2 separate regions of the Mus musculus genome follow, and region 1 is reported to be linked to region 2. Evidence: microRNA targets listed by miRTarBase, many of them from high-throughput screens and not tested one by one. Region 2 holds a microRNA gene; the other region holds the end of a gene's coding sequence.
Evidence for each region. The annotated mature microRNA mmu-miR-367-3p reads AAUUGCACUUUAGCAAUGGUGA and lies in region 2 at 1,973-1,994, opposite strand. An mRNA with a match to its seed (bases 2 to 7 or 8) in the 3' UTR can be bound and repressed. Matches are read on the target gene's strand: a 7mer-m8 pairs with bases 2 to 8, a 7mer-A1 pairs with bases 2 to 7 and ends in A, and an 8mer does both.

Region 1: miRTarBase lists Fam136a as a target of mmu-miR-367-3p. Seed matches in the 3' UTR shown: 7mer-A1 at 3,299-3,305.

What each region holds. Positions count from the first base shown.
Region 1 is chr6:86,368,223-86,373,310 of GRCm38, reverse strand. It overlaps Fam136a (family with sequence similarity 136, member A), which reads right to left. Exons shown (of 3, transcript NM_025591.3): 3 at 3,253-4,580. The coding sequence ends at 4,392. It overlaps Snrpg (small nuclear ribonucleoprotein polypeptide G), which reads right to left and starts at 1,771. Exons shown (of 4, transcript NM_026506.2): 1 at 1,697-1,771. The coding sequence starts at 1,728.
Region 2 is chr3:127,542,773-127,547,772 of GRCm38, reverse strand. Mir367 (microRNA 367) reads right to left here and starts at 2,040; the gene lies at 1,966-2,040. It overlaps Larp7 (La ribonucleoprotein domain family, member 7), which reads left to right. Exons shown (of 13, transcript NM_138593.2): 2 at 227-411; 3 at 583-683; 4 at 769-852; 5 at 955-1,119; 6 at 1,204-1,297; 7 at 1,370-1,726; 8 at 1,803-1,947; 9 at 3,495-3,619; 10 at 4,617-4,741. The coding sequence starts at 228. Gm51018 (predicted gene, 51018) reads right to left here and starts at 2,684. Exons shown (of 2, transcript NR_146435.1): 1 at 2,627-2,684; 2 at 870-1,139. It overlaps Mir302b (microRNA 302b), which reads right to left and starts at 2,545; the gene lies at 2,472-2,545. It also overlaps Mir302c, Mir302a and Mir302d.

The DNA of each region.
Region 1 (5,088 bases), not on the chromosome of region 2:
AGACACGGGACCAGAAATGATTAAGAACTATGGAGTTATGCTAAACTAGGAGTGAATAGCTGTAAAAGGAGGTGTTTATGAGAAAATAAGGAGGCGGATCTAAAAGTATTTCAAATTTGATAAAATGTAGGGATGAGAAAAAGGCATCAACTCAGAGAAGAGAAGTTCAGTGACAAAGTAGCTCACACAGGCTCTGCTCCAAACACGCCAATAAAAATATGGACACAATCACTAGTTCCAGTCTCTGAAAGGCCCAAGTATATCTGTTAAGAATCAGAGGACACTGAAGATTACAGGTAGGGAACAGTGCTTTTGTTCAAAACCAATGCCATTTTGCCAATTCCTGCTAAATCCAGACCTCATTTATTAGCTCATCATCAAAACAAACAGTGCAGAATAACTTCTTTTTAAAATGTCAGACTTATGGCTTAATACATCTTTATTATGTTGTGTTCTGCCTATAGGCCTGCAAGCCAGAATAGGGTACCAGATCCTATTACAGATGGTTGTGAGTCACCATGTGGTTGCTGGGAATTGAACTCAGGACCTCTAGGAAGAGAAGTCAGTGCTCTCAACCTCTGAGCCAACTCTCTAGGCCCGGTTTAACAGATTCAGATTCAAACAAAACTGCAGGGGTTTCACACAGAGGGCTTTGATTAAAATGTGCACTCAAATACAAAAATCAGCAAATGTTGTTATCTTTCCCCTGCATTGGGGTCTTGACAGAACTTTACAGTAGCAAACAGGCTATACACAAGACAGATTATTTTCTGGCTACACCAGAAAAGACCCAGTATTAATCTTGTATTGAGCAACCCAATGACTATGTGCATATGCGACAGGTTCAGGCCAGTCAGAAGTGTCTGAGACCAAAGGGTCTGTCTGATTTTACTGGGTACAGAATAAAATTCTTCAGAAATTAGCTCTTTACAAGTAGAAAATGGATGTCCTTCCATGGATTTATTGCCAGAGCAAGATATTACACAACGTTTAAATGTAACTTGAATACAAGGACAGTGTATCAGAAACCTAGTTCTTGGGGCTGCAGATGGCCCAGCGCTTATTGCTTGTCCAGAGGACACGAGTCCAGCTATTATTAACCACGCCAGAGGGCTCACAACCTCCTACAAGTTCTGTTTCTGCAGATCCAATGCCCGCTTTGGCCTCCGCAGGAGCTGCACCCACGTGCACAAACATATAACTAAACATGTCTCTGAGCACCAAAAAGGGGAAAAAAAAACCCCAAAACTAAACCTAGCTCTCTTGATGAACGCAAATGAACGCGCACATTTATTGAAACACAAAACGCTACCTCACCTTAAACTTTTTGAGACACAGTGTCTTTTTTTTTTTTAAGCCTAGGCTGGTCTGGAACTCGCGGTAATTCTCCTGCCTAAGCTTCCTGAATATTGGCCCCATAGATCACAGCCAATCACGTCCGACTCCAATCGATCATTTTAAGCCCACGAGTCTCCGGTTCCTCACAACCATGCACCTCGACCGCTGCCCTGGTCCCCAACCAGGTTGCCTTTGGCTGCCCGCCTAGGAGAGCCCCAGCTTTGGGAAGACAGAGGCACCGGCACTGCAGTAACCATGCCGACCGGACCTTAGCGCCACTTCCGGCTCCCGCGACCGTCGGGACCAGCGGCGGCAGCCCGAGCGAGACAGAAGTCTCGATAGGGCCGACTCTACTCACTTCTTCAGCTCGGGAGGGTGGGCTTTGCTCATGGCGACTCCTCTGCGGGCTCGGCACAACGGCGAAGGAGTGAGCAGGCTCAGAAACGCGCGCAAGGCAGGCTTGGCGCTGGTGTCTGACGTCACCGCCGCGCGAGCCAATCGCCTTCGGAGAACATTACCTTTCATCTCGCGATATTGATGGGGATGTCTGAACCTGCGGACCAGAGCCACGCTTCCGGTTGCGTCGCCAGTGACAGGCCACGACGGAGAGGCTGTGTTCGGCTAAGCTTCCTTTGTGTAAAATTGAAGTGGCAGGTCACTTTAAAAACAGACCCCTTCATTTATATTTTATGTATGAGTGCTCTACATGTACACCTGCGCGCCAGGGGAGGACCTCAGATCCTACTATAGATGCTTGTGAGCCACCATGTGGGTGCTGGAATTGAACTCCAGAGCTCTGGGAGAACAGCCAGTGGTTTTAACTGCTGAAGCGTCTCTCCAGCCTGTGTGTCACTTCTTTTCTTTCCTTTTCCCACTTACTACACTTTTTTTCTCTTTACATTTTTGTCATTTCCCCTGCCCCTTCCTCATTGTTTTTGACGTAATTCATGCTGGCTTCGAGTTCACTGTGTAGTCAACGCTGGCTTTGAACTGTTGCTTCCCGTGCTAGAATCAACGGCATCTGCACCACGCTGCCCTTAATTTCCTAAGCACATCCAGGCGAAGCCGAGGGCTCCTGAAGCACAGAATAGCTTGTCCGCATCAGTAGCAGGAAGGTGGCTAGGCGGATTCTCTTGAGGACGTGAATCCAGTGTCTGGGGTATTTCTGATTCATCAATTCTGCAATTCTAACGCTGCCTTCAGAACCCACTTAGCACACTACAGTCCATACATAAAAGCTGAGGAGTACCACACAAGTCCTGAGGTATTGAGCTTGCCCCTGCCTCCTGAGGGCTGGGAATAAAGGTGTGCACTCTCCCAGGGTGGTGGCACTGCCCTCAGTGCACTGGGCTCTCTCATGGTAGTCATTAATGACCCACAGACATGTCCAGAGACCTGTTAGATGGAAGCAGCTCTTCAATTGAGGTTCTCCTCATGATTAGTTTGTCATCAACAAAAAAATAGCACAAGAATGCTTAGCTATACACTCTCCCCACCACTTGCTGTGCTAGTTGAAACTAGAAAACGAACATGAATAATGATAGTCTTTAGCAAAGACTGACCTCAAAGCAGGAGGGAAATCCTCAGCTTGCCTTACAGTACTGAAATTACAGTATGCACCTTTTACAATTTAGTTATAATATGTAAGTACACTGTAGCTGTCTTCAGACACTCCAGAAGAGGGCGCCAGATCTCATTAGGATGGTTGTGAGCCACCATGTGGTTGCTGGGATTTGAACTCAGGACCTTCGGAAGAGTTTTCTTAACTGCTGAGCCATCTTTTCAGCCCCCCCCCCCATGTACCTTTAATCCTAAGTTATCTTTTCAACATTAACAGCTTTCAAGTTATGATGCTCTCTGCCTTCCTCTTGGTGTTTCCCATTTACTGATATATCACTACCCATAAGAAAAAGGTGGAGACAATGAAACTTTATTTAAAAACCAAACCACTTGGAAAATATATTGCAGGCTTGACACAGCAAAAAGACAGATGTATCACTGTTTCAAGTAATTAATTGGTATAAATACAACATAGTACTTATCCAAAAGATAAGGTGCTATGTTGGGCCAGCAACACTGCACTGCAAAGAAAATAAAAAATAAAAACCACCCAGGCAAAAATGGCATTTGGCAAGAAAGTGTGTGCCTCTCTTGTTCTACAGTGGTCCTACCCATCTGTGGCCCAAGTTGCTCAGTTTCTGGCTTTCTTGTTGCTATAAGGCTCTGTAGATTCAGAGCTGATTAATACTGGGTTTGCACTTCTCAATAATTCCTAGTTACTGCTTATTCTTAGCGACTGGCATGTGAGTGACAGCCTACCCCCTTGCTTTTCATAAGGATGTGTCACTTTGCTGCACAAGTCAGTAAAGAAGGCTGTTTCCCATGTTCACTGTGTGACACTGTCCGGATTCTTCAGGGGCTTCTAGAGTAACAGAATTTGAAGAAATGGACATTCCCATCTTGACGGTACATAATACTAGGAACCTTTAGAAGTGACTCAAACCACTTTCCCTCCTGTATCATAAATCCAGTGTGCCCTGCATATAAGACAAAACTAAGCAAAATATAGATTTGAAAAGGAAATCCTTTCCTCTGAATTCCTAGCCTACTGGGTTTTGTTTCCCAGCATATGCAAGGTGGTGTGATGATACTTCTGGTCAACAGGATTTGTCAAGCTTCTCTGAGGAGATGCACCGATCCTCAGATTTTACCAGCAGGTTGAAGAGAGCTGCCAGCCTGGATGTTTGTAGTAAGAAGCTCAGCTCTTGGTACAAGGTTGATCTCTACTACAGTACAGACACTTGCATATGAATATTTAGGATCTAGACTTCTCCTCTGAGCTATCTGTGATCCAAATCTTAGCACCAGCTTCTTCCTACTTCACCTTCTAAGATCCGAATGTAAAGGGACTAGTGTCCAGCAGTGAGCAGCATTTGCCTGGAACTTGCTGTGTCTAAGTTTTCCTCATTCGTAAACGTTGCTTAACATATTAAACTTCCATTCTTCCTTTTAAATAGCCTGCCCGCAGTCCCGATGGTCACTGGCAAACAATTTTATTTCCCTATGGATGACAGAGACTCCTTCATCTTCTTGGTCATTGTTGGGATGAGGTGCATGTGGTCATCCACACACTTGGTCACACAGCTGTCTAGCTGTCGCTTCACCTGAAGCTCCTTAGTTCCTGCATCCATTGAGTCTTTGGCTTTGTCATTGCAATGCATGGTGCAGCGGGCCAGGCGGTCCTGTGATGAGAAGAGAGAGAAGGCTGAGAGGCTGGCTTCTGTTGTCTGAGTATTGGTCCCATGCCAGGCCTTGGGCTACAGGCTCGATACAGATCGTCTCTGCCAGTACTAAGTCTAACACTCTCTTGGTTCAAACAGAAGGTGCCACTGGGAAGGCTCAGACTAAGCACTGAGCAGAGGAATGGAAAAAATGAGCTTTATACAAGATGCTGGCAGCAATCAAATGACTACTGTTGGGCTTATAAATACCTCAATTCCTTTCCCACTCTTTCATCTTTCATGTGTGTGGGGGCTGTGGATTTTTAGACGTTTATTTGTGGATGTGGAGGCCTGAGGTACATGTTAGGAACCATCCTCCCTTGCTCTCCCAGATATTCACAGAGGCAGGGCTCTCAACCAATCAGCTAGACTTGCTTGCCGGCCAGCTGTAGAGATTCTGTCTCTGTCTTCTAGGGCTAGATTTACAGGTGGGCTGCCACACCCAAGAGACAATGGTTTCTGGTGATTT
Region 2 (5,000 bases):
CCTCTCTTTCCAGTGGTGGCTGACTAGGCCATCTTTTGAGGTAGAGGTTTTACTACTTGAATTTACTACAGAATTTGCACTTGCCTGACAGACCAGCTTTAAAAACATCCTTACTGATGTCAGTGAGATGGCGTCCTGCAGCAGGAATTCCTGCAGCAGGAAGGTTCAGGTGACAGGGGCATTTAGGCACTTTACAGTTTGGCATTTTTGTTTTTTCCCCTCTCAGAATGGAAACTGAAAACCAAAAAACTATGGAAGAAAGCACTAAGAGAAAAGAAGAAAAAAAGAAGCGCTCCCGGGTTAAACAGGTGCTTGCAGATATTGCTAAGCAGGTGGACTTCTGGTTTGGAGATGCAAACCTTCACAAGGACAAGTTTCTGCGAGAGCAAATTGAAAAGTCTAGAGATGGATGTAAGTTTTTTGTCTTTGTTGGAATTTCCAACTCACATTTATATGGGGCCAGAGCCTCCTGAGAGCTCAGTACTGTATATGTTCATGACACACAACTGCATGTTGAACTCGTGCTTGTTTGCACACATGTATATATTCCAGTGTTTAACATCCCACTATCCTATTTACTAGATGTGGACATTTCTCTCCTGGTGTCTTTTAACAAAATGAAGAAGCTGACAACTGATGGGAAGCTAATAGCCAGAGCATTGAAAAGCTCATCTGTTGTAGAGGTAAAAAACTTACATTTCAAGTCACCCACATCCAATTAACTACTGACTTTATTTAGCTTTCCTTTTTTTTTCCCCCCTCATAAAGTTGGACTTAGAAGGGACCAGAATCAGGAGGAAAAAACCCCTAGGTGAGAGACCAAAGGACGAGGAGGAACGCACGGTATATGTGGTAAGAAATGACACAAATTTTAATTCTAGTTCATTTATTTATAATTCATTTATTGGTAAAAATGTAGGAACTTTAAAATGTTCATACCATGATTTATTACAGGAGTTGCTCCCCAAAAATGTTACTCATAGCTGGATTGAGAGAGTATTTGGGAAATGTGGCAATGTGGTTTACATAAGTATTCCACATTACAAGTCTACTGGGGATCCTAAGGGATTTGCCTTTGTGGAATTTGAAACAAAAGAGCAAGCAGCAAAAGCCATTGAGGTACGTACTTCTGTGGGACCCTGAAAAGTAAAGAAAAAGCACAGGGTTAACAAGAGTAACAAATTCTGCAATCAATCTTTTCAGTTTCTGAACAACCCACCAGAAGAAGCACCTAGAAAGCCTGGTATATTTCCCAAGACAGTGAAAAACAAGCCCATCCCTTCCTTACGAGTAGCAGGTGAGTGCTTACTTAGAGTGGCCAAGTAAACAATAAACTATTATGACTGTAAATAATAAAATCTTGTTACAGAAGAGAAGAAAAAGAAGAAAAAGAAAAAAGGCAGAATAAAGAAGGAAGAGAGTGTGCAGGCCAAAGAGTCGGCCGTGGACAGCAGCAGCTCGGGCGTGTGTAAAGCCACGAAGAGACCAAGGACGGCCTCTGAGGGCTCCGAAGCAGAAACCCCGGAAGCTCCAAAGCAACCTGCAAAGAAAAAGAAGAAGCGGGACAAGGTGGAAGCATCCAGCTTACCTGAAGCCAGGGCAGGGAAGAGGGAGAGGTGCAGCGCCGAGGACGAAGACTGCCTCCCCCCAAGGCCAAAAGCTAAGAAAAGGGCTCAGAAGGATGGCGTCGGCCAAGCAGCTTCCGAGGTCTCCAAGGAGAGCAGAGGTACCGTGGCAGTAGGGTTACAAATGTTTTAACCAGTTTAACCACAACAACGGACTTACGGAAATCTTTTTTCTAGACTTAGAATTCTGCTCTACTGAGGAGGAGAAGGAGACAGACAGAAAAGGTGACTCACTCTCAAAGGTGAAGAGGAAGCATAAGAAGAAACACAAGGAGAGACATAAGATGGGCGAGGAGGTTATACCATTGAGAGTGCTGTCCAAGTAAGTGGCCACTGACACAGGTCCATCACCATTGCTAAAGTGCAATTCCAATTTCTATTCAACAGAGTTGCATGTTAGCAACAGTGACGGCCTTGGTCTATCTATATGCAGCACAATGAAGATTAAGTAGGAGCCACCACACTCAAACATGGAAGCACTTATTTTTAAATGCACAGCAAGTGCCTCCATGTTAAAGTAAAGGAGGCCCCTTAAGCAGACTTGAGTGGTCTTTACAAAGGCATGAATATAAAGGAAAACATACCATCACCAAAACATGGAAGCACTTACTTTCTTAGGTCTAAAGCAAGTACAACCACGTTTAAGTGGTGGGAAGCCCAGTCAATAACTCCCTTAACCTACAGCATCTTAGAGAAAATGTTGAACAGTTTAAGACACCCCCACTGAAACATGGAAGCACTTGCTTTTGTTTAACACAGCAGGTAACCCCATGTTAAAGCAGAGGGGACTCCCATCAGACTCTGAATTAAAAGGCTAGCTTTCTTATTCCAGAGTTTCTTGAATTCACTTCTACTAAAACATGGAAGCACTTACTCTTCGATGAGACAGAAAGCATTCCCATGTTAAAGTTGAAGGGAACCCACCCACAAGGCAACTAGTTAAAACAGAAGAGCAAACCCACAGGAAAGTAAAGTGACCCGGTTACAGACATAAGCTTTACCTCCTTTACCTTCGTGACCGCCTCCCAAAGAGTCCTGTTCTGTCCTCGGAGGGTGAAAGACGCCGACTTTAGACCACTTGTATTTATACTACTCCTAACTCCTGAGTTCCTTTTGGCTTTCTATCTCTGAGAATCATTACAAGACCCTTTGTTATTTTAATGTATCAGCTCTGGGGAAAGTAGGTCCTGGGGACCTGGGTAGGTCTGGATTTTTTTTTTTTTTTTCCTTTTTTGAAGTAAACAGATGTCAATGTTAACTGCTAAAACCATTACCACAAGATATCCTCCTCTTTAAAAAAAATCTCCTATCTGCCCGTTTGATGGCACAGATTAGGGTAACAATGAGCGCTCCCACAGAGCCAGGAGATGCATTGTGCTTCTCTGGAGGAGCCCTAGCTGTTTGAAGATACATCTACATGTTAAATGTATGTAAATAAATAAATTGCTTCCATGGGGTGTTTTTTTCTTCTTAGAAATTCCTTTTGATTCAAGTAAATCCTAAGGAATGTTAGCTCTCAAATTGGAAGCAATTTGAGAAATCTTTAAGTTTTAGTCTCTTACTTTTTCTCCAGGTTGCCTGATTTAGTGATTTTACTTAATAGAAGTGACTCAAAAGTGATTTTACAATTAAATATTAGAAGCAACCAGGAAACTCAAGCATTTTCCTTGCCTGTTAAGACAAAGAAACTTCCTTTGTGTGTTTGCTAGGTAGCTTTAACAAATGGCTTAACAAATAATGTAAACATATGCCTTAAAAGAAAGAAAAGTCAGAAAGACTTGCAGTTCCTATGAACATTGTGTTTAGATCAACTTCAGATTTCTAGTTGGGTCGTCTTATCACTGTAATGGCTCAATTTTTGTTTTTCAGGACTGAATGGATGGATTTGAAGAAAGAGTATTTGGCACTGCAAAAAGCTAGCATGGCTTCTCTAAAAAAAACAATATCTCAAATCAAATTGGAATCAGAAATGGAAACAGACTGTAAAGCGCCTAGTAAGTGTGCAGTGGGGAACGGAGAGGGTGACGCTCATGTAATGGAAGAGTGGGCTTTAGTCTATGAATGGTTTCAGGGGCAGTTTTATTGCAGTGATAGAGTGGCTTCCTCAGTTTTAAGCTGAACCATTTCCAAAAACAAAATGTTTTAAGAAAAGTAAAAATGTGAAGTTTTGTATTACACACTAGGTTTTAATAGTCTGTTTATTCTTCTCTACTTACCTGCGAGCTCACTTGTGAGTGCCTGGAGAGAGAAATAAAGACTGCAGGCTTAGTGGATGATGTTCAGCAAGCAGGAGCATATTAGAGCACTACTCTCGTTCATTGTAATATTAGTAAAGGTTTTAAGTTCTTGCAAATTATACAAATTCTCATATTTGAACAGTATACTTTGTGGCTGGAGAAATGGCTCAGTGGTTAAGCACACTGACTGCTCTTCCAGAGGTCCTGAGTTCAAGTCCTAGCAACCACATGGTGGGATCTGATACCCTATCCTGGAGTGTCTGAAGACAGCTGCAGCGTCCTCATAAATAAAATAAATAAACAAATTTTTTAAAAAATGAAATTGTTGAAGCCAGGCAGTGGTGGCTCATGCCTTTGATCCCAGCACTGGGGAGACAGAGGCAGGCGGATTTCTGAGTTCAAGGCCAGCCTGGTCTACAAAGTGAGTTCCAGGACAGCCAGGGCTATACAGAGAAACCCTGTCCCGAAAAACCAAAAAAAAAAAAAAAAAAGAATAGAATACTTTGAATAGTCTTATGTTCATATAGGCATACATCTTTATTAAGGCTTTATTCTTTGGTTTAGAGGTATAATGCCTTTTGTGCCATGTTGATTCCAATGGGCAGTGTGATTCCTTAATATTATTTACAATTCTGAGATCCTTAAACTAGCCTGAGAAGTCGCTGCTGCTGCTGCTGCTGCTGTTGTAGAATAGTGCTCCTCATGTGAAATGTCAGGAGTGGGAAGGTTACCTCTGGCTCCTTCCTCTTCACAGCAGCAGGCAGTGGTCAAGAGTGTTCCACCCAGGAGAAGGTCAGTGCACAAGGCCCACAGTTTGTGACTGGAGTGATTGTGAAGATTGTGAGCGGAGAGCCTCTACCGGGCAGGAAACAAGTCAAGGTAATATTTATGAACCCCATGTGAAATGTTTTCAAAATAGTATGGAAAACAAAGCAACTCCAGTCAGAATTTGTACCTTTCTGATAAACTACTTGTAGAGTCCATGGTAACACTGATAACTCTTAAGTTTACTCTAAATACCTAAATACCTTATTCCTCAGGAAATAAGGCCTAAGTACATCGAATAGCCTGTACACCTTTCTTTCTTGTTTCACTAATGGTTAGTGGCTGTGTAGTTCAGTGGAGAATGATATGGTGA